Mytilus edulis: one gene and its partners. The protein of the gene in region 3 purifies or fractionates together with the protein of the main gene of each other region. This does not show direct contact. Links are inferred from orthologs where the notes say so. Each region holds a gene or a part of one and is shown on either strand. Other genes may lie near its edges.

Region 1 (7,245 bases), on a different chromosome or scaffold from region 3:
CTTGTCTATTGTTGAAGACTTAATGTTGACCTCAAGATGTCTGAGTTTTGTGTTGTTGGGTTCCTCTCACTATTGTATATATACCACATTTCCCTTTATCTAAACAAGCATAATACTTTTATTTTTCACTGCTTCATTTTTAGTTAAATGGGAATACTGTAAACCAACTTATTTTTGGGAGCGATTTATTTTTTTGTGACTTTCACGAGTAGCGCTTATATAAATCATCATAAATATGTTAAACTTGTTTCTTTCCTCATTAAACTACATCAAGGAAATTAGAAAATCACAAATATAAATAGCCGCAAATTGGATTAGAAAGCGTAAAACGTGAAATAAAGTATCTGCAAAAATAAGTTGATTTACAGTAGTCCTTTTACTTTTCTCTTACCAAGATCTAGTAACCTATTTCCTTTCCTGTCTGGTGCTACATGTAACATCTGTCTAAGCTGATCTTTGGAAAATACAAACATTGATCCTCTTTTTAATAATCTAACGAAAAAAAAAATGTATACTCTTAATTAAAAAACACCTTAGTATAAAAGCTCTTTAAAATGAAAAGCTTTTACTTTAAAAAAAAAAAAAACAAGTGTTTTAATAGGGTGGATACTCTATATACATGTAATCTATAAATTAAAATGCCTTTTCTGTAGTATTGTTGTTTGTTGGTTTTCCTTTTTAAATAGTTTTACACTACCGGTAGTCACTTTTGTGGCCTTTATAGCTTGCTCTTCGTAGTGAGGCTCTGTGAGCTATAACGGTTTACTTTTACAAATTGTGACTAGGATGGAGAGTTGTCTTATTGGCACTCATACCACATTTTCTATAACTGTATAGTGGAGTATTTTCACATGGTACTTATTTTGGCTCATTTTGGCAGGTCAGGGGAAATCTTTATGTGTGCTTCGATACTTTCTAATAGCTAAAGCGTTTGTAAAATATTTGTTTCTCCCTGTTCGACCAATTAATAATGGTTTATGTTTATCTAAACCTCCTAAATACCTTTGCATGCTATTTCAAGACTTTGTATACACAGTGCTTTATTAGAGAGCATTACCCATTAATCGAGGTGCTTGACATAAACCAACCAAGTACAGATTTACAGATGGAATGACCTAGCTGAGTAAATAACCAATCAGATTTTTCATAACATTGGTTTAGGAACTGGCTTGTTTCTTCATCCTGGTTAAACTGTAAAAACTTTGCACAAATCTCTTCTGGAACTTTGGACAGGTCAACTGTATACCACTTTGAAAGAAAAAAAATCAACTTCAATAAATCATGTTTATTTTATACTGGAGTTACTTTTTTTGATTCTGAGTTGATGTCACATCTACAAATGTAGATTCTGAATGATTCAGTTCTTGGCTTACAGTGGTTTCATTTATTTTTTTGAGGTATCAATTTTTCGTGGATTAAGGAAAACTTACATTTTCGTGGATATTTGATTTGGTGGTTTTGCAAATCTCTGCATACAAAGCCTATTAGAAATTTGTTATTCATTGAACATTTGATTTCGCAGTTCACCTGTAACCATGAAACCCATGAAAATTAGTATCAAACAAATGTTCATGTAAAGAACATTGTACCTGTATGGTCATTTGTCAATTTTTGAAAATCATAAAACAAGTACAGAGTGTGGCTATAAGTATTCATCACTTTAGATTTTTCGCTATACATTGTATATTGTATATAAAAGTACATTTTTTCAAAAAATATTTTGAGGTCATTTTTGGTTTGATTTTAACCAATAGAAGCAGAATTGTCACATGCTTATTTGTTTATTTGGTTATATTTTTTGTGGATCATTTTCATTTTTTCACAAGATAAATACAAATATTATTTTCTGTTCAGAAATTCGCTGTATATTCAACCAAATTAAATTATAAAAATTTATTGTATGTGTTCACATCAAGAGAAAACAATAACACCCGAAGACAAAACTATCACCAAATAAACAAACAAACAATTCTACTTCTTTTAAAGCCTTGTTCATAAAAATCCAACCATAAATGCCCTCAAAATATTTTTTTGAAAAATTGTTTTTATATGAAATATATATATATAAACAAAAATGCAATACTTTTGGCCAGGTACTGTACATTGTATAAACTATTTTTTAAAGTTTATCATTCAACATACATATACTTCATTTTGAAAAAGTCTTTTGAAGCTAATCAATCCTCTAGAATAATGAACATTGTATTTTAAAAACAGTTTTAATTCTGGCATTTTATTATTCTCAGATCCGGACATCCTGGCATTTAAATTTTTCAAGGGGTGATGCAGATAGGATTCCTCTAGATTTTTCATCTATTTGAAGGTGATATCTGATTATTTATATTGCTGATTATTTTTTAACCAGAGGATATAGTATGATAAAAATCAAAATGGAGATATTATATAGTGTCTTTAACAATATTAAGTGGGTAAAATTACTAGATTCAACTGGTGTCAATATATATCAATTAAATTAATTTGCATTGAAGTCTATGGAAAATCTAGAGGATTCTCATCCGCATCACCTCTCAACATTGTTTACATAACAAAAATGCTAATCATTGATTGGTCAGTTACATGTTGTGATGTCACTGCAGATCTGAGAATTTGTACATCTCCCCATAACATTTTTTTTTTACATATGGATCTAGCCATGCTAGCTATTGCTAATAAAACATACGTCATCATGGGGATTATTCTTTTGTTTTTCATCCTCTCTCATTTTATTGTAAACTGAACGTAGCAATGGACTGCGAATATGACCAATTCCGGGGATTTGATCAGCTGCTTGGCTCATCCTGATATTAACTGCTGTCAACAGTTCTATGAATACACATCCCAGATAAATGGATAAGTTCATGAAATATTATGGACATATATTACTGAATTTTTATATATGTCTTTCTCTACGTTATCGTTTTACATATTCTTTTAAAGTCTAGATCAGTAAAATTGTCTGAATCAAAACAATAACTGACTGAGCTGTGTAAAACACATCTTCCGGTTTAAACGAAATGTGTATTCTCCCTTTTTTAGAAGTTTTGCAGCGGCAAATTTCAAATGAAAACTCAGCATATGAAGATGTTGGTCCCCTCCGTATAACATTCAGTATATGCCTTCGGAAAATACAAATATTGTCAAGAATTTCAATAACGGCCGAGAAAAAGACTAATGAAGATATTATCAGATATATTATATAGTCTTTCCAGCGCTATACTTGGCAAAATTTTCAGCCTAGTTGTTATAAAGAAACATATATGTGTTACCAGTTCTTATCTAGGACATGTAGGATTGGTAATTCTGTTTTTTTCACATCACATTATTTTTTCAAGGATTTGTAGATAAATATACGGGGGAGGGGGTGTTACTGACTGGCCTTTCGATGGTATAACTGTGCAGTGGCGGATCCAGGGGGGGGGGGGGGATTCCGGGGGTTGTAACCCCCCTTTTTTTGGCCGATCAATGCATTTGAATGGGAGCATATAGTTGGAACCCCCCTTTACTCTTTGTTGGGAACCCCCCCTTTTTTTAAATGGCTGAATCCGCCACTGCTGTGCCGACAGCACATGCAAAATCCTACCCTGTTCTAACCAGAAAACATTGAAAAACATACCTTGTTCTAAACACGCTCAGTATAGCCTACCCTGTTCTAGACCGTGTGAAATAGATGGTTCTAGACTGTATCTCAAACAGTTAAATAAGCGATCCTGTACTAGACAAATACTTTGTTTAAAAAGACCCTGTTCTCAACAGCGCTGCAGGCCGGCATGAAAATGCGACCCTGTCACAGTCTTACCAGCAGGACACAAAAAAGGGACCCTGTTCTAACCAGCAGGCCATGGAAAAGGGACCCTGTTTTGCTGCACACCCATACCACTAAAAATATAGGAAGCAACCCCCGGGATAAATATACTGTTCCCAGATTGACCAGACATTTGCGCTTTTTACCTCTACTCTTCAACAATCTTCAACCTATAATTTTAATGAGTTACGTAAATAAATTCAACTTGAATGTGTCGTTAGTAACTTAGCTAGTTCACATTGCCACAGTCTTAAACACTGAAAGGAATATAAAGTTATAGCAGGAACATACATGTCAACTGTTCCCAGGTTATATAGACAAGTACAGGGGAACAAAATATATATGTTATGATTGATTTTTATCGTATAGGGCCCGTTGTTGAAACCCAATCTCTAATTTGTTTGTTTTTGCTTTTATAACAGGACAATTCTAAAAATCTGAGTTGTTCCTAAAGTAAAGCACAACACGGTTGACGCAAGAGCCTTGGAAAGGAGTCAATGGCAAAAGTCTACAGATTACCTGACAGCAATCCTATCCCAAAAATGATAGAATTTGTTCATACCTTGCCACAACATAGTATGCATGGTGATATGTTTAAAAATATAATAAAATGATAGGTCACCGAGCATTTTCTGAAGCTACAGGTTGGGACAAAATGACAAGTTTTGTATGGATTATACAGTGAAAAAGCATTAATGTGATTAGAAGATAAATTAAATGATAGACTGATTGTAAAATAAAATACGAGAAGATATTTTTTATAACATGCTTTGAGATTATCAAAAGAAAAAATAGGGTCACCGTACGTTTTTTCTTGCTAAAATATGAAATAGCAAAATTTCAACAAGATTCCTTCAACCGTGAAATGCACTGTTTCAGAGTCACCTCCCTTTAAAATGCAAATTTTAAAACATTAAAAATCAAGCAAAAAATATAGTTGAACTATTGCTTATAGTTTAAGAAAAACAGACACATAATCTTAACACTATGCAATGAACCGTGAAAATGAAATAAAAAAGATCAAATAAAACTGCGAGACTGACATGTTCATCATAGAATATGTCCATACACCAAATATAGTTGACCTATTGCTTATAGTATTAGTAAAAAAGATCAAAACTCAAAAACTTAACTTTTACCAATGAACCATGAAAATGATGTCAAGGTTGATACCTGCCAGTTGGAAAATCAAATGTACACCTTACAATTATTCCATACACCAAATACAGTAGACCTATAATTGCATATATTATAGTAGTAAAAAAAGCTAGATCAAAATACAAAAACTTAACTATAACCACTGAACCATGAAAATGAGGCCAAGGTCAGATGGCACATTCCAGTTGGAAATGTACACCCTTTACAATCCTTCCATACACCAAATATACTATAAATATGCTTTATATATCATCTGAGATATGGACTTGACCACCAAAACTTAATCTTGTTCACTGATCCATGAAATGAGATCGAGGTTGAAAACTGTGTGGCGGGCATGAGGACCTTGCAAGGTATATAAACACATACCAAATATAGTTTTCCTACTACTCATAATAAGAGAGAAATCAACATTAAAAAAACTTTTTTTCAAGTAGTCACTGAACCATGAAAATGAGGTCAAGGCAAATGGACATGTGACAGACAGAAAGTTCGTAACTTAAGGCATCCATATACAAAGTATGAAGCATCCAAGTTTTCCACTTTCTAAAATATCAAGCGTTTAAGAACTTTTAAAAGTGATCTAACAACGCCGCCGCCGGAGCACTGTCCCTATGCCGAGCTTTCTGCGACAAAAGGCGCAGGCTCGATAAATATACTAATAGTTATAAGTTAACATCTTAACAATTTGTTCTTTTAAAGGAAAATTCACATTAGTTATGTGCGTTCCTGCATCAAATTTTGCTAACTTGATTGGAAATCTTGACCTTAGTATCTCTGTTATTTACAACCCAAGACGGAGAAAGACACCAATACTACTTCGTGTACGTTAGATGACACTAGTATCGTGCGACATTTCAATACAATGATCAATATAATACTTCCATGGTGAGAAAAATAGAAAAACACGCGAGTAAGAGAGCACGGAAACCGCCATAACCGAAAAAGAGATTGAAGTATGTCTGATAAAAGTTTTTTTTTTTTTAGAATTCCTAGATAAACCAGTCGCATCTTATCATTACAACATACATCCTCTCCTTTAGCCCCTTGCATCAGTTGCTTTCTAAGACAAACTGTTGTATATACGTAATGCTTTGTAGACAAACTCATGTTAAAACTTCCTTTTTTGTTGATTTTTTATATCACATGTAAGCATCTGGGTACCTTATTTAAAGAGTGCTATTCTAATATTTATCGAATGTGTATTCTTTTTTATTTCAGCACAATCAACTTTCTTACATTATATATTATATCCAGACTGTATACAGTGATTGATTAAAAATCAGATCTTAGTTGCCCACACGAGGATTAAAGATTGAAACAGAACTATTGCAATTGTATTACGCCACATCTTTATCAAATTTTGTATATTTAGGAAGACACACAGTACAATACAGAATTACCTATTAATGATCAATTAAGGTTGAAAAATGGTTCGTTGTGCAAGTAGAGATCAGGAACCGTCAATTATGGCTTAAATCGCAATACCAATGCAACATTTTAAAATTGAATTTGATATAGATAATTTTTGTATGCAAGACTATCTATAATTACGATTTGATTTGGCCCCATCAATCGAAGGCTTAATTTCACATCACTATACATTAAGAAAAGCTATGATTGTCATCCCCGGGGAAGCGATGGTAATTAATCAGATGACAAAGGTTCCCGTAATTACGGATCTTTCATTTACGAATGATCTGTTTTGCTTTTGAATAATCCCTTCATTTCCATCATTTTATGACTTTTGTTTCAAGCTTTGCATAACGACATCCCCTGGCCATCTAAAACTCGGCCAATGTTTTTTAGGGAGGGCGTAAATTACATCATTTTTCATTAAAAACAATAGTTTACTTCGTTAGTCTACCTTGTTGGACTCTGATTGCGAATTAACAGGGAGCATTTCATTTATGTTGTTCTGGAATTCCACAGAAAATGCAACATTAATGTAGGAGAAATGAGACAATTAACGAAAATAAATTTATCTATTTCATTCGATTTTTACCAATTAGGCGAACCACTGAAGCTATTATCATATGGTATTCACCACAAAAATTCACAATTATTAAGATAGATTGAGTTGAAATTCCAAATTACGCCGATAATGCGTTGTATAAAATTCCCCAATTAAGTCTTATTTTGAAAATATGATATAATTAAACAGTCTAAGAAAACGCTATCCCTAAATCAAATATGGTCTGATTCATGTGATTATTATTCATTTAAGAAATCCATTTGTAAATTGTTGTGTATTTGTCTTTCCATCAACAATAACAACTAAACAC
Region 2 (7,280 bases), on a different chromosome or scaffold from region 3:
GCTAATCACTTGTACCTGAGCTTGTACAGGCAGTGATCTGGAAGGTTTTTTTCACTATGGGCCCAGGGCCCCTCAAAAATAAATTCAATGGGCCATTTTAAAAAATAATGGGCCATATTGTCAAATGAGTGGGCCATTTGAATTGACTTCGGTAAAAAAATAAAAAGTATCATTATTTTTTGGCAAAGAGGTGTTGGTACTTACCTTTACGTTGTTAAATAATATCATGGATATTGTTCCTGTGATTCTGTAATTTCAATTAATATACAATAATTTCTTCCAAAGCAGACAATATTAAAGATAACCTTTATTTACAATGTCTAAACTGGTACTGTTGCCTTGGCTTGTTCATGTTCATGTTGTTTTTTTTTAACAATAAATTTGGGTCTTCGTCGATACCATACTTATTCCAGACGTTCCGTATTAGAGGTCATTTCAGGCACTTCCTCTGCACTTCATGTATTAATATTATTACTTTATAACGATGACAAAAATAACAGTAGAGAGTATCACTAATTGATAGAACAAAACAATAATTCGCTGGTCATGTTTACAAAATGTCAAAACTGGCCAAAGACCAAAACATGACAAGGACAGTTAAGCGCTTTTTATGGAGACAAAAACTATATTCATAAAAAGGCTTCGGGGGTTTTCAATCGAAATAATAGCAAGCTAAACTAAATTAAAGATTATTATTAGAGTTACATCTCGTCTGTAATAGCCAAATTTCACAAATTTAAAGTTGTTTATAAAAAATTATATCATGAATGATGGTTAATTACGTTTTTTGGGTTATCAGTTTAACCGCATGGTTCTATTATTACCATAGGAAAACACCCGAGACGTTAAACCGCATGGTTCTATTACCATAGGAAAACAATGAGACGTCCCAAAAATATATATAGGTGCTCCTATGATTGGAGCAACATTATACAGTTGTGTACACACAAATGGCGGCAAGGAACACGATCGGAAATCCATTTGACGATATCTAAACGTTTCGAAACGATGTGAAAAATATTGTGCGCCACGTGGGCGCTTACATTTGTCACTCTATGCGCCATTTCTGGTCAATATGCGCTATAGGCGCAGGGCGCACTTCCTTCCCGATCACTGTACAGGTAGATCAACAAACCAGATAGGAGAATACTATCTGAGGATAGACGATCCATTTGTCGAATTAATCAACTAAGTTTCAGCAAATGATTATGATAATTTAGATTAAATAAATAAAAAAATAATCCAGTTACAAAGAAAACAGTTTAACAAGTCGAACACGTGCTTTATTTTGACTTACGCAATCAGCATCCCCCTTTTTTAAGAAGTACAAAATAAGACGCAAAATTGTAAATATTATTTCATCGCAAATAACTCGAGTACTTCTGTAACTATAATTTAGAATTACTTTAAAAGTTTAAAAGTAAAAACTTAAATATTTCCTGTAAAGAAATATCGTATCGTAATTCCGAATTCATTTCGTATATATTACAATCAAATTGATACATCCGCGTTTCCGGTTTCTATTCAGACTCGAAAGATGCATGTTGCACAGCATCAATTTGTCAAATGAAGTCATTAAAAACCTTTTCATTTGTCAACGTTTGCTTTACAAATCTCTTTAACCTTTTACATAACCCGTACGTTTTGTAGTTGCTGCAAATCAGCCATACCGGTAATGGGTTTTGAATTAAACAGTGTCCATGATTGGCATGAAAATAAGCTCCACATCATATGATTTTTAACCCCCATAACAATTATCAAAAATACAAGAAATCTACATGGGGACCTTCATGACAGCTTTTGGTCATTCTCGACTAAGGGGGACCATGAAGACTTGGCATTTGAATGGTTAAAAACGGCAATAAAAGAAAATATTGATACTTCTTATTCTATAAATTCAAATAAATATAAGTTAAATAAGCAATGAATTAGCATGTTCACCATTCCTTGTATGGAGGGATAAAATACTTCCAATCGCGCTACACTGTACAACGTAGACACGGTTTGTAATGGTGAAAGTTCCTCCATCGTTCAATTTTCATCCAAGGAGATCCCTGGGTTCAGTATATGACTGAAACTGTGTGACAGGATTACTTCCTTTGGTACTAATAGTTGATACTTATTCAGCCATAAACAGTTGAGCTAGGAAAGTACTTCTTTCAGTTGCTTAATGACTTATAACATAAATAATGTGCTGCCTTGTAATACAGAGTCCCAAAGGACAGAGACAAGCAATTTTGCAATGAAAATCATGCTCTCCCAACAATAAATACACACAGTTAAAAGAATTACCTAGCCAGGGAAGTGTTGACATAAATAGTTGAAAGCATCAACATACAAAGTAGTATAATGACTCTTGATGTGTGGGAAGTGTGTCTGGATTATTTTTCTTGATACTTATAGTAGATACTTAGTCAGCTGTAAGCAATTGAGCTAAGAAACTATTTCTTTAGCTAAGTTAGTTAACAAGCTGCCTTGTGAAACAGAGCCTGTCAGAGGTCACTGAACAGCTGAAGAGACAGTAGTCCAAATAATTATGACGTCTGGCAAGGCTATTTTATTTTGTTGTAGGAAGGCGTCCCAGAAAAAAATTAAAATAGCCTTGTCAGACGTCATAATTATTTGGACTAAAGAGACAGGTGATTTTGTAATGAAAATCATGCTCCCCGATTACACATGTACATATAGCATTGTATAGTGCTGAGTTGAAAGGGAAAATGAGAAATCATACTATACTGCTTCTAGCAGACAGAGGCCACCACCAACAAACTGATTATACTGACAAAAAATGGATTTAATCAAATATTACACCCTCCCCCCAAAATGTTTCAACTGCTCTACGGTTGCACATATTACTTTTTTATGGCTTTGAACAATTTTACAAAATACATTACCAATCAAATTTTCCAACTTGATCTTCATAAAGACCAGAAACATGTAAAATCGCAGTGCTTAGGAGGAAAAACGATAATTTAACAATACTCGAAAGCATTTTTTTTCCTTCAGCCACCGGTAACGTTTTGTATCTCTACGGGTCTCACTAATTAGCGACAACAAGCGTCAAGAAGCGACAACAAGCGTCAACAAGCGACAAGAAGCGACAACAAGAATTATTTTAGCGACAACAAGCGACAAAAAGACTATTTAGCGACAAGAAAACATTTTTTTTTTATTAGATATAAAGAAATTTGTATTTAATGTTTTTTTTTAAATATACGAGCAGATATGTCTAATTAAAATGTTTTATTATATAGACAGACAAAGAAATGAAACATTTGTGCGGAAGAAAGAGATTGTGAAGTTTATATTAGTATATTGGTAGATGAAGAAATTTAATATTTGTGAAGAAGAAAGAGATTGAGCTTCTTTTTTTTATTTTTAAATATGAAGAATATGTATAATATAAAGTCAAAGTATGAATAAACGAATGGAGATATATATGGAGCGGGCATAATGGAATATAATATTTTGATTCATTTGCTTAATACTATGCTCTAAGTGTACTCTTGCTGAGACTACTATGTTATAGTAGTCTCAGACTCTTGTTATGTCAATTCGATGCTTTATTTATAGAACTCTCAGCCACGCTTTGCCATCTTTATTATTTAAGCGTGTTTCCAGACCCCACGACGAGGACGTGGTTCTACCTTGGGGTCCATACATTTATTTTTTTTTTTATTATTTTTAGTCATTATATAGTAATATGTACATTCCTATCTAACATAATATTTATACATTTAGTACATGGTGGTCCCATTTTGATAAGTAAACATGTGGAACATCAAATGAGGTTAACGAGTCGCGTGTCCCCTGTTTTATTGCTACAATAACATCCAATTAACACCTTCAACTTTGTACACGCGTCAGACTATACAATTACACGCGCCAGAATATACAATCATTGTAAATAATGAACACCTGTTGAAAACTCAAGATTGTCATTAATTTCCTTTCATCTTCAATCAATATGCATAAACATGATAAATATCGTTTAATGAGGCAATAAACAAATAAAAAGATGAAAACATTCACATTTCAATTTTCTTTTCCTCCTGTATGATTTCAGTTTTGTACATGTTGTATTTCACAATTTGTGTCAATATTTTCAGGACAATGATGCACAAATAATTCATTTTGCGAGCTTAATATATATTGCACGAAAAGAGTTTTAAAAAACAAATTATAAGATAAATAATATTTTCTAAAACACAAGGAAAAGTAATCTCATAATACAATAATTAAACGTAATATTGGCTGTTATTCATAATAGATGATAAAATATTATGTAAATAATGTTCATTTTTTTCTATCAATTTTAACTTTCTTGTCGCTAAAATTATTTTCTTTTGCATATATTCTTTTAATAATTAAAAAAAAAATGTTTTCTTGTCGCTAAATAGTTTCTTGTCGCTTGTTGTCGCTAAAATAATTCTTGTTGTCGCTTGTTGACGCTTGTTGTCGCTAAAATTCTTGTTGTCGCTAATTAGTGAGACCGATCTCTACGAAAAAGAGTTGTTCGATTATGCTTATTTCGTCCTACAATTCATTCGGCCTATTTAATACTAAACTCCCAGGTAAAACGTCATTCAATTGAAAAACTTTAAGGTGTTAGAATTTACTCTAATCTGTCCTGGACAGGCCATGTTTTTTACTTACATGTATGGGTCCGAGACCACAATTATTTCTTAGTGCATTTCTTTTAGAACATAAATGAAAATAAAAAAAATCCCACCTGCGCTTTCTCAAAGAAACTTTTACAGTGTGTTGTACTACTTTTGGGACAAATTATATCAAAATTATAGAAAACTTCATTGGCTCTAACTCAAAATATTGACAATTTTATGTTTAGGGCGTCTTGAAATCTTTAAATTTGAGAGCTTCTGAAGTGCTAAGTTTAAATCTTTTTCAGCTGGACCAAATTACTACTTTCCTTTAAAATTCTGGACCCAAATTTTTTTACAGAGTAATTTCACTCCCCTACTTGCAATTTGAGGCATTAAACATGGAGAAATAAATTTGGAAGGGGTATAAAAATTAATGGCAAGTAACCCACTGTCAACACTAGGGACTATATGTGTGGTCCGGTCTCGGACCTAATAACAGATAGAGAGACTGAAACAAAATGACGATTATAAGATATGTTTGTGTAAAAAAATGATAAAATGGTGCACAGAACACTTAGTTAATGATATATACATGTATTGGTTCAAGAATTGGATAACTTTATTTATTTATTTTAATAACAACATGTGAACAAAAATTTAGAATGGCAGCTGTTACGCAAAAAACAGTCCTTATCACATTCTCTTCACTAGAAGTATGATCAACAGCCTGAACAATCTACAAAATATAATTACAAAAATTAGAAACAATTCACAACTACATGTAAATGAACGAAAAAAGAAAATTGAATAAATACTGTAACTTTGGACAGTATACAGTCATGTGCATCTATTGCCGAATTGTACAATTCTATAAGAATAATCTTATACGTGTGAAAGACAGTACCTATTTTTTATTTTTTTACAAAAACAAAATTAAAAGTTACTAGAACAGACCTCAACAGCAATTGAATTAAACGTGTAGACTGATTGAATGCAAACCGTCGAATTATTTAATTCCCGCTTAGGTATGCACGGGTGAATCCACCCGTATGCACTGGTGAACCACCCGTACAAATTACTACGCATAACGGTATTCGTTAAGCCTTATAACGAAAAGAAATTTATTTAAGATATTTTTGCGGTAATTTGAATGATGCCAATACTATACATGCTATGTGAATTTGTCATTTTTACCTGTCAGTTTGAAAATTGTATTATTTTTTCATCACAATTTTTTATTTCATTTTTTCATATGCGTGTTTGTTTGATATTTTATAATTGTTTGTTAATAATATTTCATTGTATATCATGAGGGCTTGAGGGAAGATTGAAGTTATAGCTAACTGTGTAACCCTCTTTAAATAAAATAAAAATATAATTATAACGTTTATGAGAAGTACTGTAACATTACATAGACCACAGTGAGCGAAACATGCTTTTTAGAGCCTCTAGTTTGAGCTTTAATATCATTAAAATATATATCAAAGTCGCCAAGAAAATGGGATAAGGCTTTGGCATATTTTTGATTTAGCCAAAAACATTAAGCATGCCCCTCTCTGTGATTTTCTGAAGAGACTGAAAAACTTAACTACGGTAAGCATGGTAAGTATGCAACATTATCCTATCAATTGGCATGTCCTATTACAATCTTTGTTCCAATAACTGTAAAGATAGTTAACAGAACACTGAAAGCAAAGAGGTTGTAGATAGATTTGTCTTGATAAAATTTATCTCCTACATGTAACAATATACTTATAAAAATTTTGAAACGTTTCAAGTTCACAAACCTGAACAAAATAATCACATCAAAATTATATAATAATTAAAATGTTTTAAATGGATCAACCTTTTATTAGATATGCATTGACATGAATATCTTACTTAACACAGATCAAAGAGGTTATACTAGCAACTACCTTTTTGCACATATTAACAAAATATTATTGAAATTATGTATCAATTATAATTGGTGTTTTATTCAGCATGGTTATGGAGATCGACAAGCAGTATACTAAATTGTTTTGACTTAACTTTGGGACCTCACACACACAATTTTACATTAGGACCCATCTAAAACGCAAGAAATGTTCAGTATTGTATATACTTTCGATTCATCGGTTATCCCACCGCTAGCAGGGGCTGTTCCAAAATGGGAGCGTAATTTCAGATAAAAGATGAATAACTACCGAGTGGAGATAGCAATACATTTTTAAACATTCAAATGTAATCCCATTCAATGGTGACTACGCCCTCTGCGCCACTGAACTAAACACTTGCTTAAGGACTCCTCCAACAAATCATTCCTAGAATAACCAAGGTGGTATAAACAGAAAAATGTATGCATATCCCCTCCTATATATTTCGGTTGTTATGGTCAGGTTGTTGTTTCTCAGTTGACACATTCCCTATTTCCATTTTCAATTTTCTTCGTATAACTATTGACCGATTTAAGATTCTTTACACATGTTACAACTATGGAACACATATCAATATTGTCTCTTATCTCTGTTCTATTTCCGTGCAGATCAAATAAAAGGGTCAAACTAATCAGAGACTTAGAGGCCCATAGATTATGTAATCAAATATAAAAATCTTGATAATTCAAAACAGTAAAGAGACACATCGGGATTTGACATGAAATCTGTATGTGTTACTCTATTTTTGGTATTGACTGTT
Region 3 (7,311 bases):
TGTTAAGAATTGCACATGAGGTGTTCCCTCTACCGCTCTCCATGTACACGACGTCACCGTTGTTGTGACGTTAGCTTTTCAGAGTTCAATACAAGTATCATTGCAAGCAGACGTTCTTATTTACTAAGCCTTAATTTGTGTCCGAAACAACCACTCTACGATAAACATGATGAAATTAACATTGAGTATATAGGAAAGGGTTTGGTAGTACAGACACCTACAGCGTAAAAAAACTGTGCCACTTCACATGTTTTACTGTTTTACGTTCGTTAAACATTGTTAAATCAGAAGATAAAAACAGAGAACATTGAATATCGATTAACTGTGTCTCTTATACGCTTTCTTTTAATCTTATTCACAGCTACTTTTAAACGCAAAGACGACAAACATTAAGTTTTGTACGATGACGGAGCGGACCCAAAAAAATTCTGAAAAAAAAAAATTCTCCAAAAAAACGTCAAAAAAGAATTTGAGTCGGCGGGTTTATTTTGGGTTGGTCGCGTTTGGGCAAACATACAATCTTTTTATTTTGGCCTGGTTTCTCTTGGTCCCAAACTGTCCATTATTGCATTAAACATGGAGGTGATTGGTTTCCTTGCCTAACAGTCTTGTTACCTAATATAAACAAAAGCAACAATGATTTTGATCAGAAAGGCTGGTTTCCAAGGCAAGAATAGTAGCCGAAACTGTAGAACACTACCTTTTACATTGTTCTAACTATGAGGAGGCTAGAGAGAGGATGAGAACATCTATTTACTTTATTACAGGAAATATACACATGGATTTAGACACCGTATTAGGAATCGATGAAGAAGACATTAATAGAGACAATCGAAATGAGATATTGTGCCATCTGGAAAATTATTTAACGGAGTCTGGTAGATTCAAAAACACTATACAGCAAAAAACACTATAAATCTATATCAAAATTAAGTCAAAATTTTTTAAGCAGCAGCCACCATTTCAATCTAGCAGGGCTCACGCTACCAGGCGACTTGGGCGAAGAAGTCGCCTTCCCGACCGTCACTTCGCTTTCCTCGACCCCCAAAAGCGAAAACAAGTCGCCCTGTTCTTGACGACAGTCGCTTTCAGTCGCTTCCGTCATCGGACATTTTCAATTTTTACCAAGTTGATGAAACATCAAATTTTTATTGATAATTAAAAAATTTCAGACATAAACGATTCATTATCTTTTGAAAAGAGTTTGAAGCATTGTCTTCGCAGTGGGTAGCAGGTTATTTGATAAAAATACAACTTTTTATCACTTCGTGCATTTCTGCGAGTACCGGTGCTTGTTACTCGAAAACGTACATCAACCTCAATTTCTGCGGCAAAATAAGTTTGTTACTTCATTTAAACGTGATAAAAGTTGCCTCCAGTAAATTTTAATCCATTTATTGCATTAAAAACGTCATGTTTCTTTCCAAATAACTTGTCAAACATCGTTTATTTTTGTAAATTTTCTTGCATTCGGCCGCCATTGACCGATTTCTAATCTACGGATCTGAACCGGACCAGCTATGACCGAAATCCGTACTTTTACAATAATTACTACGGACACACGGATGGAACAGCTGACAGAAGAATATTGATCCCAAAGGGAAAAATTACGCATTCCACACGCATTAAGAGACTTTTGGTTACATCTAATTGATTGGTGTATATAATTCCTTATATTTTTTATGGATTGTTTCAAACTATTGATTAAAGTTACTTAACTCTGAGACTATTATACTAATATCAATATATTATGGCCCAGCTTAATAACTTTTATATTTTTTTTATGAGAAACACTGAATGTCATACACAAGATAATTTTTAATTAAATTGTAATTGATATATTATAATTTCTTTACATTTTTTTAAATATTTTTTATTTTTTTAGTGCTAGATATTTAGTTGGTAGTTTCTCACAAGCTTAAACTACTTTTAATTTCAAATGTTACTTTAATTGTAATTTTTTTACTCAGATATGAATTGAACAGTATAAAAAGAACATTATTTACATATATGGCCCTTTATACTATTGTAAAATCCAAACATTGTATCGCACAGCGCGAATGAGCACTTCTCTTTCTAATCTCACCACTTCTCCCTATCAGTTTCAAAAAGAGAAGTCACTTCTCCCTATAATTCTGAAGTAGTGTGAGCCCTGTAGTACATGAGTGAACATTACATATGTGAAGAAACTACAAAAGAGGAAACGTACACAAGTGTTTACAGTGTCATTTGGGACACTTACTAAAGACTAAAGACTAAAGAAGCCATTTGGTATGGCTGGTTTCCAAGAATAAAGACTGACGGTTAACGGTCTTCATACTCTCATATAGGTGAATACAGCATTTAGATACCAACCAATAAACAGTTTGATATCTTTTATTTTTCATTAATTAGCTAGACCGAATTCGGTCTATTAATTAGCCAGTTAGCCACCCCCTTTTTCAGTTTTATCATTACTCTTTCAATAGACAATATATGCTGTATGTAAGATATGAAGCTAATATCTTATCCTTGGTCAAGACTTCTGTAGTCTTCAAGGTAACCCTTGCAGCAACCTTATACTTGCAATTCGCTCAGTCACTAAAATAGAGATTTTTTTTATGCAATTATGGGACATAGTTTTTGCAGTTTCTATTGGGCTGTAAAAAAATCATTCAGGCCAAATAAAAATAAGCAAGACTGAGCTTTAGTAAATGTGTTAAAGTTTTAATACTGACTAGGGACTAATGTTACTGGATCATATGATCTGAAAAATCAGGCATGTCATGATTATTCGTCCTCCCCCTTTTTTCGGTTTAATCGTTTCTTTACAAATAATGAAGGTTTTGGGCATTTTCCAAGTGAGCTGGTGTTTCAAACAGAAGTGATCGTGGGAATTAAGTATCAAAGTATTTCAAATTTGAATCATAATAAGACATTTTACCAGTAATTCTGGTGTTCCAAGTTAAAAGCGTTCCAAATCCCTCACGCCGGTCAACAGATGAAGTTCATAAACGTGGAGATGTTTGATTGGTTATGGAAATTATATCAAGGAAATTTGTAACGACATTTTTGATTGGCTACTATATACTTTAAAAGTTAAAAAGCGCGTTTTTTTAAATTGCATTTGAATTGAATACTAGAACCTCAGACTAGAATCCGTAGATTTTTAAAATTAGTTATTAACAGCAACAGACATATATTGTCTTACCCCAGGAAAAGATTACATTCTAGACCTTCTAGTCGTATTTGGCACAATTTTTTGGAATTTTTGGTCCTCATGCAATGCTCTTCAACTTCGTATATATATGAGGCCCCTCATGGGGGGGTCCTAGGAATCACATAATCACCATTTTTTTGCCAATATAATCACATAATCATTAAATATTTGCTTATCTTTAGTAATCAAATAATCATAAACTAAAAATACAGTCCTAGGTAATCAAATAATCATGAAATATTTGGCTTAATAATCAAATAATCATTAAAAAAACGGCCAAGTAATCACATAATCAAAAACCCCATGAGGGCCCTCATATATGGTATTCAAGTTGTTTGACCTTATAACTATTTTGATGTGAGCGTCACTGATGAGTCTTATCAGGGATTTTCTATACTATTTCTTAGTATAGAAAGTCCCTGGTCTTATGAAGACGAAACGCGCGTCTGGCATCACGATTAAATTATAATGTTGGTACCTTTGATAACTTTCAAATATCAAGTTTTAAAACATTTCTATACTTGTGGCTAATTTGCAATTATTATCTTTGAACTTCTCCTTATTGCCAGATTTTTGGATAAATACTGCGCCGCTAATGTATAAATTAAACTACTTGAATTATACTAACTAATAGTAAATATATGAAAAGTTAAAAAGAGATTGTCTAAAGATTGAAAATTATTGCATTTTAACTGAATTTCAGCAAAAGACTTATTTTTATTATCAACGTATAGTGAGCATTCAGCCAAAAAAGGGTGTAATGCATTATAAACATTTTTTATTAAAGTGTTCTATTCAAATCTATTCACGCTGGGAACAGTATATCTAATATATATGTTCCTGATTCACGGCACAATTTTTTTACATATATAATCTCTGATCAGTCTCAAATTACAATCCAAGTAAATATTTGTATGACTACCATGAGCGCTAATTCTTATCTTACAGATTAATTGCCTTAATCTAAAATCTTTTAGGTTAATTTATGTTTCAAAACAAAATAGAGTTTTAAAGAGTTTTGAAAATGCTGGATTTCAGGTTTCGAGCATGATTTTTGTGCTCCGAGCACTGACCAAAGTTTTATGACTTCAAGGCCTGGGCTTCATAAAAATGAAGCTTTCGGTGGCCGGGTGTTACCTTTCCACGTCAGTTTTAATCTAGCGTCGTGCTACAGTACATGATATATAAGACATGGAGATGTTATTTTTACAGATCAGCTAAATTATCTATAGTATAGTATATATATATATATATATATATATATATATATATAAAATGACTGAATAAATAGTCAACGATTAATCTTACAGGGCGATGGAACATGTAATACGATTCTGTACACTACAAAATATGATATATAACAAGTCAAAAAGGGTACAACATCACCATTAAATAACTATAAAATGAACAAATATTAAATATTTCGGATAACAGATATCCTTCTTCGGTAATAGCACGATGTCAAATGAATCATGTCATGATATATTCAAATTGAGACACTCAGAATCTTGAAAGTTTATACAATTTAAGCGGAAACCACAGACGCTGGTGCATCTCAAATGACGACTTACGGGTAGGTCGGGCTTGCAAGTGTAGTCACTGCGATGACCATTCATGCGTTTGTTGAATGGCTGCTCTGTCTCGCCAACATACTGCATGCCACATCGACACTGAAAGAGGTATACAACATAATAATAAAGTCATTTCAAAATGTAGTGTACACAGACCCAGTCGAGTGGCAAGTAAATGTTTGAGTATTTAGTATTTGTTGACAATTAAGTCATATATATTTAGGACTCGGAACTCCGCGTAAGTTTTACGGATGCCATCAGAACTGAGATGGTTGACAGTATATGTATGGTATATACCTCTCACAGATCTATGAAACCGACAGCGGATATATGTTCCTAATGTCGTAGCTACACCCCGTCCAATTTTCCAGAATGTGACATACCGAATTAGACTTATAACAACGTGTGTACTAACATAATCAACATGACGGGTGCCACATGTGGAGCAGGATCTGCTTACCGGCTTCCAGAGCACCTATGATTATCTCTTTATATAGATAAAGGCAGATGTGGTGTGAGTGCCAATGAGACAACCTGTTGGGGTTCGTGTTGCTCAGTCTTTAATTTCTATGTTGTGTTTAGTGTACTATTGTCTGTCAGTTTGTCTTTTTTTCTTTTTTAGCCATGCATTGCGTTGTCAGTTTATTTTCGACTTATGAGTTTGAATGTCCCTCTGGTATCTTCGACTCTATTTTACGCTAGTGTAGACAGACCCGTTGTAGCACCAGTCCTCTTCCAATATTCACATTGGATATTTTTTAACTGGCATGAAATGTTTACTGTATACCAACAAAGGCAATTGTCCCAGATTTGTTTTCTATATACCTGAATATAACATGTTATTTTTTGTTCAATAATTTTTTTCTCTAGAAGATGAAAAGCTACTCACGCGTCAGTGTAATATAAGTTATTTTTCCCCTAGAAGATGAACAGCTATTGACGTCAGTTTCTGTCATATAAGATTTTTTAGAAGACGAAAAGCTATTGACGTCAGTGTATGTCAAATAAGTTTTTGTAATTTTTGTAAAAAAAATTATAAAGCTATCGACGTCAGTGTATGCCATATACAATGTTCTAGAAGACGAAGAGCTGTGGACGTCAGTGTCTGTAAAATCAGTATTTATTCTTGAAGATAAAATGATAATGACGTCCGTGGTTGTCAAATACGTTTTTTCTAGAAGATGAAAAGCTATTGACCAGTGGCGGATCTAGGTGGGGGCCCACTGACTGCCTAAGACGGGACCCGCTCCGGTCACGCTTCAGTGATTCCCTATATGATCACCCCCCCCCCCCCCCCCCAAATCCGCCTCTGTTGACGTCAGTGCAAGGGCTGATCAAGCCATTTTAAAAAGGGGGTCCAACTATATGTCCCCATTCAAATGCATTGATCGTCCAAAGAAGGGGGTTCCAACCTCCGGAACCCTCCCCTGAATCCGCCACTGAGTGATTATCATATAAGTTATTTTAGAAGATGAAAAGCCATAGTTGTACAAGAATAAAAACTGGTTGACGTTGTCAGTGTATGTCAAATACTGTTATGTATAGAAGACAAAAAGCTAGTTACATAAGTGTCCGTAAAAAAGGTATGTATAGATGCTAAAACTCATCAGCCTTCGTCGAATAAGGTTAACTTTTTGTAAAATAAAAAAAGCTATAGTGACATCAGTGTTCGTCAAATATTTATTTTTTGTAGAAAGTGTTTTTCATTTTTTTTTTGTTGAAGATTAAAAGCTATTGATGTCAACTGTGTCCGTCAAATAAGTTATCTAGAAGACGAATCAAAAGCTATAGTGACTGACGTCAGTGTCCGTTAAATTTTTTTTTTTATAGAAGGGTTTTTCATTAATTTTTTTTGTAGAATAGGACAAGCTATTATAATTGATATCAGCTATGTCCGTCATATAAGATTTTCTAGAAGATAAAAAGCTGTGGACGTCAGTGTCTGTCAAATAAGCTTTTTCTCTTCTAGAACATGAAAAGCTATATATATATATTGGCGTCATTTTTTTATCAAATAATTTTTCTAGTATACTGACCGGCTTTAGAAACGCAACACTAGATTATTCTTTTCAATTTTCATTTTTAATTATGCATTTTTTTGTAAACAAACTTATGAATAGAAAGTTCTGTCATTACTTAAATGTTTGAAAAAAAAAATGCAGTTCGAAAGTTGAATTGATTACGTCATTTTCGATGTTCAAATATTGTGTTATACACTGAAACCCTGATTTTCCCTATACCAATGAACGTGTCACCGTCAAAAGCAATGACTGCCTGTAACAAACGCCAAAATGATTGTCAGAAAGGTCAGCCATTTCTGTTCGGCACGTTTTGGTTTCTGTTTTGCACCTTCTGATTTTGCCGTTGTTCCACCCATTACAATGGGTTTTGTCAATTATGCGGTTTAACCTTTAAGGCTCTAAATGTTTTTCTGCAGTCGATTCTTTGCCAGTTCAGTTAATGGGAAACATTTATGGCAATAATCTGTGCAAAATTTCATTCATCAATTTGGTTAGCAGTTGACGTTGCAGCCGTAGATCT
Region 4 (7,154 bases), on a different chromosome or scaffold from region 3:
TTACTTGATCTAAATCAATACAATACTGATGCAGCTGTGAAAATTAAAATAGGATTGCAGCTCAATAGCACAGGCACTCGTCTCAGAAAAAAAATCCCTATACACCTTTATATAACATAAGGTACTTTACTTGTGATTTAGGAAAATGTCAGCTGGTGCCGAAATTTCGTTATATGCCGATTTCTCAGCTGTCAACACAACTAAAACTTGTTATGTCGTAAATCAAAATTGATTCATCTTCAAGTGAATGGTGTATAACACGCCTACTCTTGTTGTCGGAATTATCCGTAGCAATCCTATCCAAGTATGTCAATCTTAATTATTTAGTCCACTGACGATGCATTGGAAACACACAACTCACCAGAAAAAAAATCTGAGACAAGTGCCTGTGCTCAATAGCAAGAAATAAAACAAATATGGCCAAAATACAATCAAAAAAATTATTAATGTCCATACAAGTCCTAGGTCTTTCCTTGGTCTGTGCTTCAATGGACCCTGTAGGCTGTACTATGACTGGTGCCAGTGGCGGATCAAGAACTTTTCATAAGGGGGGCCTACTGACTGACCTAAGGTGGGCCCGCTCCAGTCATGTTACAGAGATTTCCTATATACAGGTTGGGAACAAACCCTCTTTATGGTGATTATACCTGTATAGAGGGATAATCCTTCTATAGAGGGTAAAATTATCCCTCTATAGAAGTTTTTTTTTGTTTAGACTGGATTTAAATCAAATTAGGGCAGAATGGCATTCTCTACTTATTATGGCAGTAACCTGGAACAGTTGATGCACCAATTGATGTACTTAATTTAATATGCACATGCCCAGTTTGATGCTTATCTGACTAAATATAAAATCTATTGTTCACCATGATTGAAAGCTGTGATGATCAGGTAAATTCTACTCACTTATGCCTCACTGAACAGAATTTCTATTGTTTGATTTAACATGAAATTTAAAGGTCAACTATTCCTTTTGTTGTTGATCAGGTGTTCAGATAGGTATACAATAGATTTCAAGTTTTGTAACTTTAGCAGAAAACTGGTTATCCCAGTTGTGAGTAAAGTATAAAATTGAGAATGGAAATGGGGAATGTGTCAAAGAGACAACAACCCGACCAAATAAAAAACAACAACAGCAGAGGGTCACCAACAGGTCTTCAATGTAGCGAGAAATTCCCGCACCCGGAGGCGTCCTTCAGCTGGCCCCTAAACAAATATATACTAGTCCAGTGATAATGAACGCCATACTAATTTCCAAATTGTACACAAGAAACTAAAATTAAAATAATACAAGACTAACAAAGGCCAGAGGCTCCTGACTTGGGACAGGCGCAAAAATGCGGCGGGGTTAAACATGTTTGTGAGATCTCAACCCTCCCCCTATACCTCTAACCAATGTAGTAAAGTAAACGCATAACAATACGCACATTAAAATTCAGTTCAAGAGAAATCCGAGTCTGATGTCAGAAGATGTAACCAAAGAAAATAAACAAAATGACAATAATACATAAATAACAACAGACTACTAGCAGTTAACTGACATGCCAGCTCCAGACTTCAATTAAACTGACTGAAAGATTATGATTTCATCATATGAACATCAGGCACAATCCTTCCCGTTAGGGGTTTAGTATCATACCATCATAACATATATGAGAAGAACATAACCCGTGTCATGCCAACAACTGTATTTAATAATAAATGGGTTTAGTTCCGATGCAAAGACCTTATCAGTGACTCAATATTAACGCCAAAATATGCAATCTTTAATGACTTGACAACAGTATCGTAATTATATCCCTTCTTAATCATGTTAATAAGTCTATTCAAAGGTTTTGTAAGTTTCTGAGGTGAATACTGACACCTTTGTGCTTTATAAAGAATATTACCATAAAAAATTGGATGTGAAATACCTGAACGTATTAGAAGTCTGCATGTTGAGCTATATTTACGAATGATGTCTTTATACCGATGATAAAATTTAGTAAATGTTTTGACTAGTTTGTGATATCGAAAACCCTGGTGTAATAATTTTTCAGTAATACATAAATTTCTCTCGTTAAAATCGAAAACATTGTTACATACACGAGCGAATCGTACAAGTTGAGATATATAAACACCGTAAGATGGTGACAAGGGAACGTCACCATCTAAAAACGGATAATTAACGATAGGAAATGAAAAATCATCCCTTTTATCATAAATTTTAGTATTCAGCTTTCCATTAGTGATATAGATATCAAGATCAAGAAAAGGGCAGTGGTCATTGTTAGTATTAGCTTTATTTAAAGTAAGTTCAACAGGATAAATTTCATTAATATACATACTGAAGTCGTCATTATTGAGAGCCAAAATATCATCCAAATATCTAAAAGTATTATTAAATTTGTTTATCAGATGTTGTTTCGATGGGTCTTTGCTTATTTATGTCATAAATTGTAACTCATAACAATACAAAAACAGGTCCGCAATAAGTGGTGCACAGTTAGTCCCCATTGGAATTCCGATAATCTGACGATATACGGAATCTCCAAAGCGAACAAAAATGTTATCTAGTAAAAATTCAAGGGCATATATAGTATCAAAGCATGTCCAATTAACATGCATATGTTGATGCATATAATGCTAGAGATTATAGCCAATATATCTAGAAAATGCCATTCTGCCCTAATTTGCTTTAAATCCAATGCAAACAAAAATACCCCTCTATAGAGGGATAATTTTATCCCTCTAAAGAAGGATTATCCCTCTGTACAGGTATAATCACCATACAGGGGGGGTTTGTTCCCAACCTGATATAATCAACCAAATTTTCTGAAATTGAATACATTTAACTTTAACATTAAATAATTCTTATTGCGTATGAAAAGAAATAAATAAGACCGGCATCCTGACCCGATCTACATACTTTGTCGATATACTGTCAGCGTAATCAATCAGTGTGCCAGAATGCCAGTTAAGAAATAAATGTAAAAACAAAATAGGGTTCACAAAATAGGTGCTAAGAATATTACCGGAAACGAGAATACTATTTTAGAAATCGAACTCGGAAAAAGTAATCTGGATTAGGAATATCCACTATTTTGTGCCACATTTTCAAAATTTTCAGGATCTTTAATGACTTTTTATCAAATTTATTTAGATATAGACCTTTTCTTTAAATACTACATGTCACTTCAATGCAAAAAAAATATAAGACGACCCTTCTTAAAATCTATCTTGAGACGGTCCACGATTGATTTGCGTTCGATTAGTCGGTTACGAAATCAAGATAAAAATATTAGTAATTAAAAAAAAAAAAAGAAGCACACGCTCATATATCTCGCCTGATTACTTAATCGTGATTGGATTTGTATTGAAAGTTAAATGAAAATTTCACTAAAAGTCATATAAACGTAATATTACTTAACTGTAGAATAATCATGATCAGCCCTGCTCCACTGTTGACACCCGTTATGAAACTGAGAAGAATATTGTTTATGTCGCATTCGGTGAAATGGGGTCTCCAGCATTTAATAAAATAGGTTTTCTGCATTGAATAGGTTTCTACATTGAAATTCTCCAGAAAAAGGTCAATCGGGTGGTATATTGTCTCTTTTCGGATGAAATTTGTGTTTCTTTTTTAAAATAAAATTGTTGAAATTAAATCGCCTAAAATCAACTCGAAATAAGTCGACCAATAATTCACAAAGTCTGTTTCTCTTCAAAAAAAAAATTAAGTAAAGATCGTTTCTATGTTATCTTCCCTGAAATATATATCTATATATAAAGTGGTCGAGGACAATACTTCATCATTGATCATCATTGACCAGTAATGAGGGCCCTATACGAATCAACGAATTATAGATAATCACCACAAAATTAATGCTGGATTGAACAAACAAATTTCAGGATAAACAAGGACAAAAACATATGCTACATGTAAAGTGCAGCAAGGCACTTGTTTTAGTGGTGTATTCCTTCGAAGGTCTTGAAATTACATATTGAATGATTTTAAACTTTTTTTCCCATTCACGATGAACATGACAACCGGCAAATAACTAACATTTACTTTATTCTGAAGTCTTCATTATAAATGAACAGTATTTGGTTGATTTTTTTTTTATATAAACTGACATTATGTATTAACTAACAGACATATTTCTCTGGAATTAGTGATTCCTTTAAATATTTTAAATTCCCTGCTTGTGAAAACGTACTATGAATTTAAAATAGCGAGAATAAAACTTGTGAACCCCATCTTATAAATTATTTTCTGTGCCCTATAATGTATAAATGTAAATGCATATTTTGTTTTGTTTAGTACCAAAGTCAATGAACATAGTCGTAGGGGAACATGTCAACACTTATAAATGAGGGTTTGAATGCTTAGAATGTGATTATCAAGTATTCATTTTTTAATCATTGTCGCCCATAATTTGATTTTCCTTTATTTTATAATTTAGCTCCGTTTTAAATCCATATTCTTTCAAATTTAAATTAATTTCAGAGCCGATATTTCTGTTTTCTTAAAACCTCACCCAGGCCCTCATATACAATGTACTAGAAATTATTCTGACACAAAATTAACTAATTGACCTAATTCAATGGTAAAGTGATTTGATCGGGAGACTCGTGAGTTGCATCCTCATCTATTCTACTCACTGTTTTCGCTTGCAATGGGGTAGGACAAAATAAATCTGTTGTCGATTTCCTTTTACTCTGACAAACTTGAATTACAGAAAACTACCGTAAAGGGTATTTCCAAGTAGAGGAGGGAAAATTAATTCAAATGTTCCCATAAGTCTTGAATAATTCGTAAAGGGTATGAATCAATAACCGTGCCAACAAGACATATCAAGTTGCTACATTATTGTTTAGTAGCCAGTTTGCTGCAATAACCATTTAAAAGAAAATACAGTGAAGGAAAATATTTTTTTTCTTTTTTTTTTACTGAGGCAGTTGCCTCGGTTGCCTCAACGTAAGCTACGCCCTTGCATAGTTTACTATACAATTTGGGAAATGTATATTACTGAAGGCTGTAAGGTGACTATCTATATAGTTGTTTACATTATCGTCATTTGGTCGCTGGTAGAGAGTTGTATGTTCGACAGTCAAGACACATCTTCACAATATGCAAAGGGGGGGGACAAGACACAGCGAAAAAAAAAATGCAAAAAACAAACTAAAACTTCAGAAACTTATTGTCATATCAAAGTATATTAAGTTTTTTTTCTTTCTGAGACAAGTGCCTGTGTATGTGACTGGCTGAACTGTATCTCTTTCTGTCTCTATATATATATAGGCATATCTGGCAGTTGCTATTTGACCGGCATCGGCAAAATAGCAAATTTGCTATTTGACCGGCACCGGCAAAATAGCAAATTTGCTATTTAGCCGGCACTGAATAATACTGTTCATTGATGTGATTAGTAGAAAAAAAAAGATTTATAATAATTTAAAATAATTTTATCACAATATCAAGCATTAAAAATACAGTACAATCAAAAATAACATATTGAAGATGTTCTTAAACAAATAATTTATAACTTTATAATGATTAATTTAAAGCATGAAAACACAATTGTAAATACATTATTAAAAATATTTTTTTCTAAAATATTTATAAAAAAGTTGATTTTCAAATCTGTGTAAAATCTACGGTTTAAATATCCTGCCAGTGATAACACAATTGTTATGCAAAACTACATCATAAAACAGACATGACAGACAATATTAATAGTTAACTTGTTTGCTATGAATTTTAATTGGACACATGAATTAATATTGGCAATTGTTATAAAACCAATTCTTTGCCTTTGGAAGTTGTTTAAGTCTAGCTCAAGAAAAAATTTTGCCACTCCAAACAGGAACTACACATTACACTGGCTTCCTTTGAATCTACATCATGTGGCCAAAATGATGTGTACTCAAAGCCGGGGGTAAGTCATATGCATGGCGAGGGGTCTTGGGGCCACTCAAGGTCCCCAGAAGCTACTAAGGTGTTAATAGGGGAAAGTCCTGCATTCTGGCAATTTCCTGGGACTTAACATGACCTCACAATAATCATATTTTCAGCAGTTAAAAATCCACTTTTGAAACTAAATATTTGATAAATAAATTTGAGGAAAAAAATAATTTCTCTATGTTTTAGTCTTTTTTCAACTTTTAATTCTCAAATATAATTATAAAATCAAGGACCATTTCCTTTTCTTTCTTATACTGAAATAAAATGTGTCAGATGATTTTTTTTTTACAGTTTATGTTCAAAAGACTAGCCAGATTATTGCTTGATTATAATTGTATTTCTCAAGTCTTCTCATGGTACTGAAAGACCATTCTGTCATTGCATCGGCAACACAATCACAATGCTGGTTCCGTAAATAAAAAGAGTATACTAGTTCTGGAATGTAGTATATATAGCTACAAAGTGACTATTATCATATTTGTATTTCACTTTTTAATATATCTTATTACTTCTATTCTATTCTTTCATCATTTTTGTCAATTTTGTGTATGTGTAAGCAACGTAGTTTCTTATTTTTTTAAGATAAGAAGTTTAAGTGTTTATATGAGCAACAGTAACAAAAGTTTTTAAAATAAAATTTGATATTTAATTATTATTCTTAAATTTTAATTCCAGTGAAATAGAATTTAATCAGAGCCGGCTAAATAGCAAATTTGCTATTTTGCCGGTGCCGGTCAAATAGCCACTGCCATATATATATATACATATATATATTTACAAACTGATCCACACCTAGATAGATTGAATGTTGATTGTTGCTATTTTTAGACACTATATATATATATATATATGCTATCTTTGATTTTAAGTCCGATGAATGCTATGACCGCCGGCAAGATTTTGAGTTTTCATCCAGATGATAACATATTTATAGTAGCTTCTTTTTAATTAATCTTCATTACTTATAGGTACGTTCGAGATCAAAATTTGGAAAGCCAGAAATATAAAACAAAGTCGCATACTAAATTACCGAATGAAAATAACAAGAAGTAATTGATATGTAAGTATTTTAAATGATCTTAAATAAACTCCCAGTATCAATTGATGTATATGAAAATAGTTAGAATTTCAAAAAAGATGTTGAACGAGCTGTCATAAGTTCAAACTATAGCTGATAGAATAATGAAGAGGTTCGTAGGCCTGTGTT

Evidence for each region.
Region 1: the proteins of calnexin-like (region 3) and protein-L-histidine N-pros-methyltransferase-like purify together in Homo sapiens (co-immunoprecipitation; 3 studies listed by BioGRID and IntAct, with this or other methods). This does not show direct contact. The link is inferred for Mytilus edulis from reciprocal best matches to the Homo sapiens genes CANX and METTL9.
Region 2: the proteins of calnexin-like (region 3) and ER membrane protein complex subunit 1-like purify together in Homo sapiens (affinity purification with mass spectrometry; 4 studies listed by BioGRID and IntAct, with this or other methods). This does not show direct contact. The link is inferred for Mytilus edulis from reciprocal best matches to the Homo sapiens genes CANX and EMC1.
Region 4: the proteins of calnexin-like (region 3) and WW domain-containing oxidoreductase-like purify together in Homo sapiens (affinity purification with mass spectrometry; 3 studies listed by BioGRID and IntAct, with this or other methods). This does not show direct contact. The link is inferred for Mytilus edulis from reciprocal best matches to the Homo sapiens genes CANX and WWOX.

What each region holds. Positions count from the first base shown.
Region 1 is NC_092348.1:52,998,953-53,006,197, reverse strand, and holds the start of protein-L-histidine N-pros-methyltransferase-like, read right to left. Parts: upstream 3,024-7,245; 5' UTR 2,861-3,023; coding exon 2,681-2,860; intron 1,249-2,680; coding exon 1,058-1,248; intron 493-1,057; coding exon 392-492; intron 1-391. UniProt on the Homo sapiens protein: Protein-histidine N-methyltransferase that specifically catalyzes 1-methylhistidine (pros-methylhistidine) methylation of target proteins.
Region 2 is NC_092356.1:55,262,956-55,270,235, forward strand, and holds the start of ER membrane protein complex subunit 1-like, read right to left. Parts: upstream 3,028-7,280; 5' UTR 2,993-3,027; coding exon 2,895-2,992; intron 1-2,894. Other genes in the region: C-type lectin domain family 4 member E-like, read left to right, coding at 7,239-7,280. UniProt on the Homo sapiens protein: Part of the endoplasmic reticulum membrane protein complex (EMC) that enables the energy-independent insertion into endoplasmic reticulum membranes of newly synthesized membrane proteins.
Region 3 is NC_092351.1:90,147,067-90,154,377, forward strand, and holds the start of calnexin-like, read right to left. Parts: upstream 3,015-7,311; 5' UTR 2,924-3,014; intron 1-2,923. UniProt on the Homo sapiens protein: Calcium-binding protein that interacts with newly synthesized monoglucosylated glycoproteins in the endoplasmic reticulum. It may act in assisting protein assembly and/or in the retention within the ER of unassembled protein subunits.
Region 4 is NC_092348.1:28,720,390-28,727,543, forward strand, and holds the start of WW domain-containing oxidoreductase-like, read right to left. Parts: upstream 3,016-7,154; 5' UTR 2,909-3,015; exon of another isoform or gene 2,896-2,908; intron 1-2,895. UniProt on the Homo sapiens protein: Putative oxidoreductase. Acts as a tumor suppressor and plays a role in apoptosis. Required for normal bone development. May function synergistically with p53/TP53 to control genotoxic stress-induced cell death.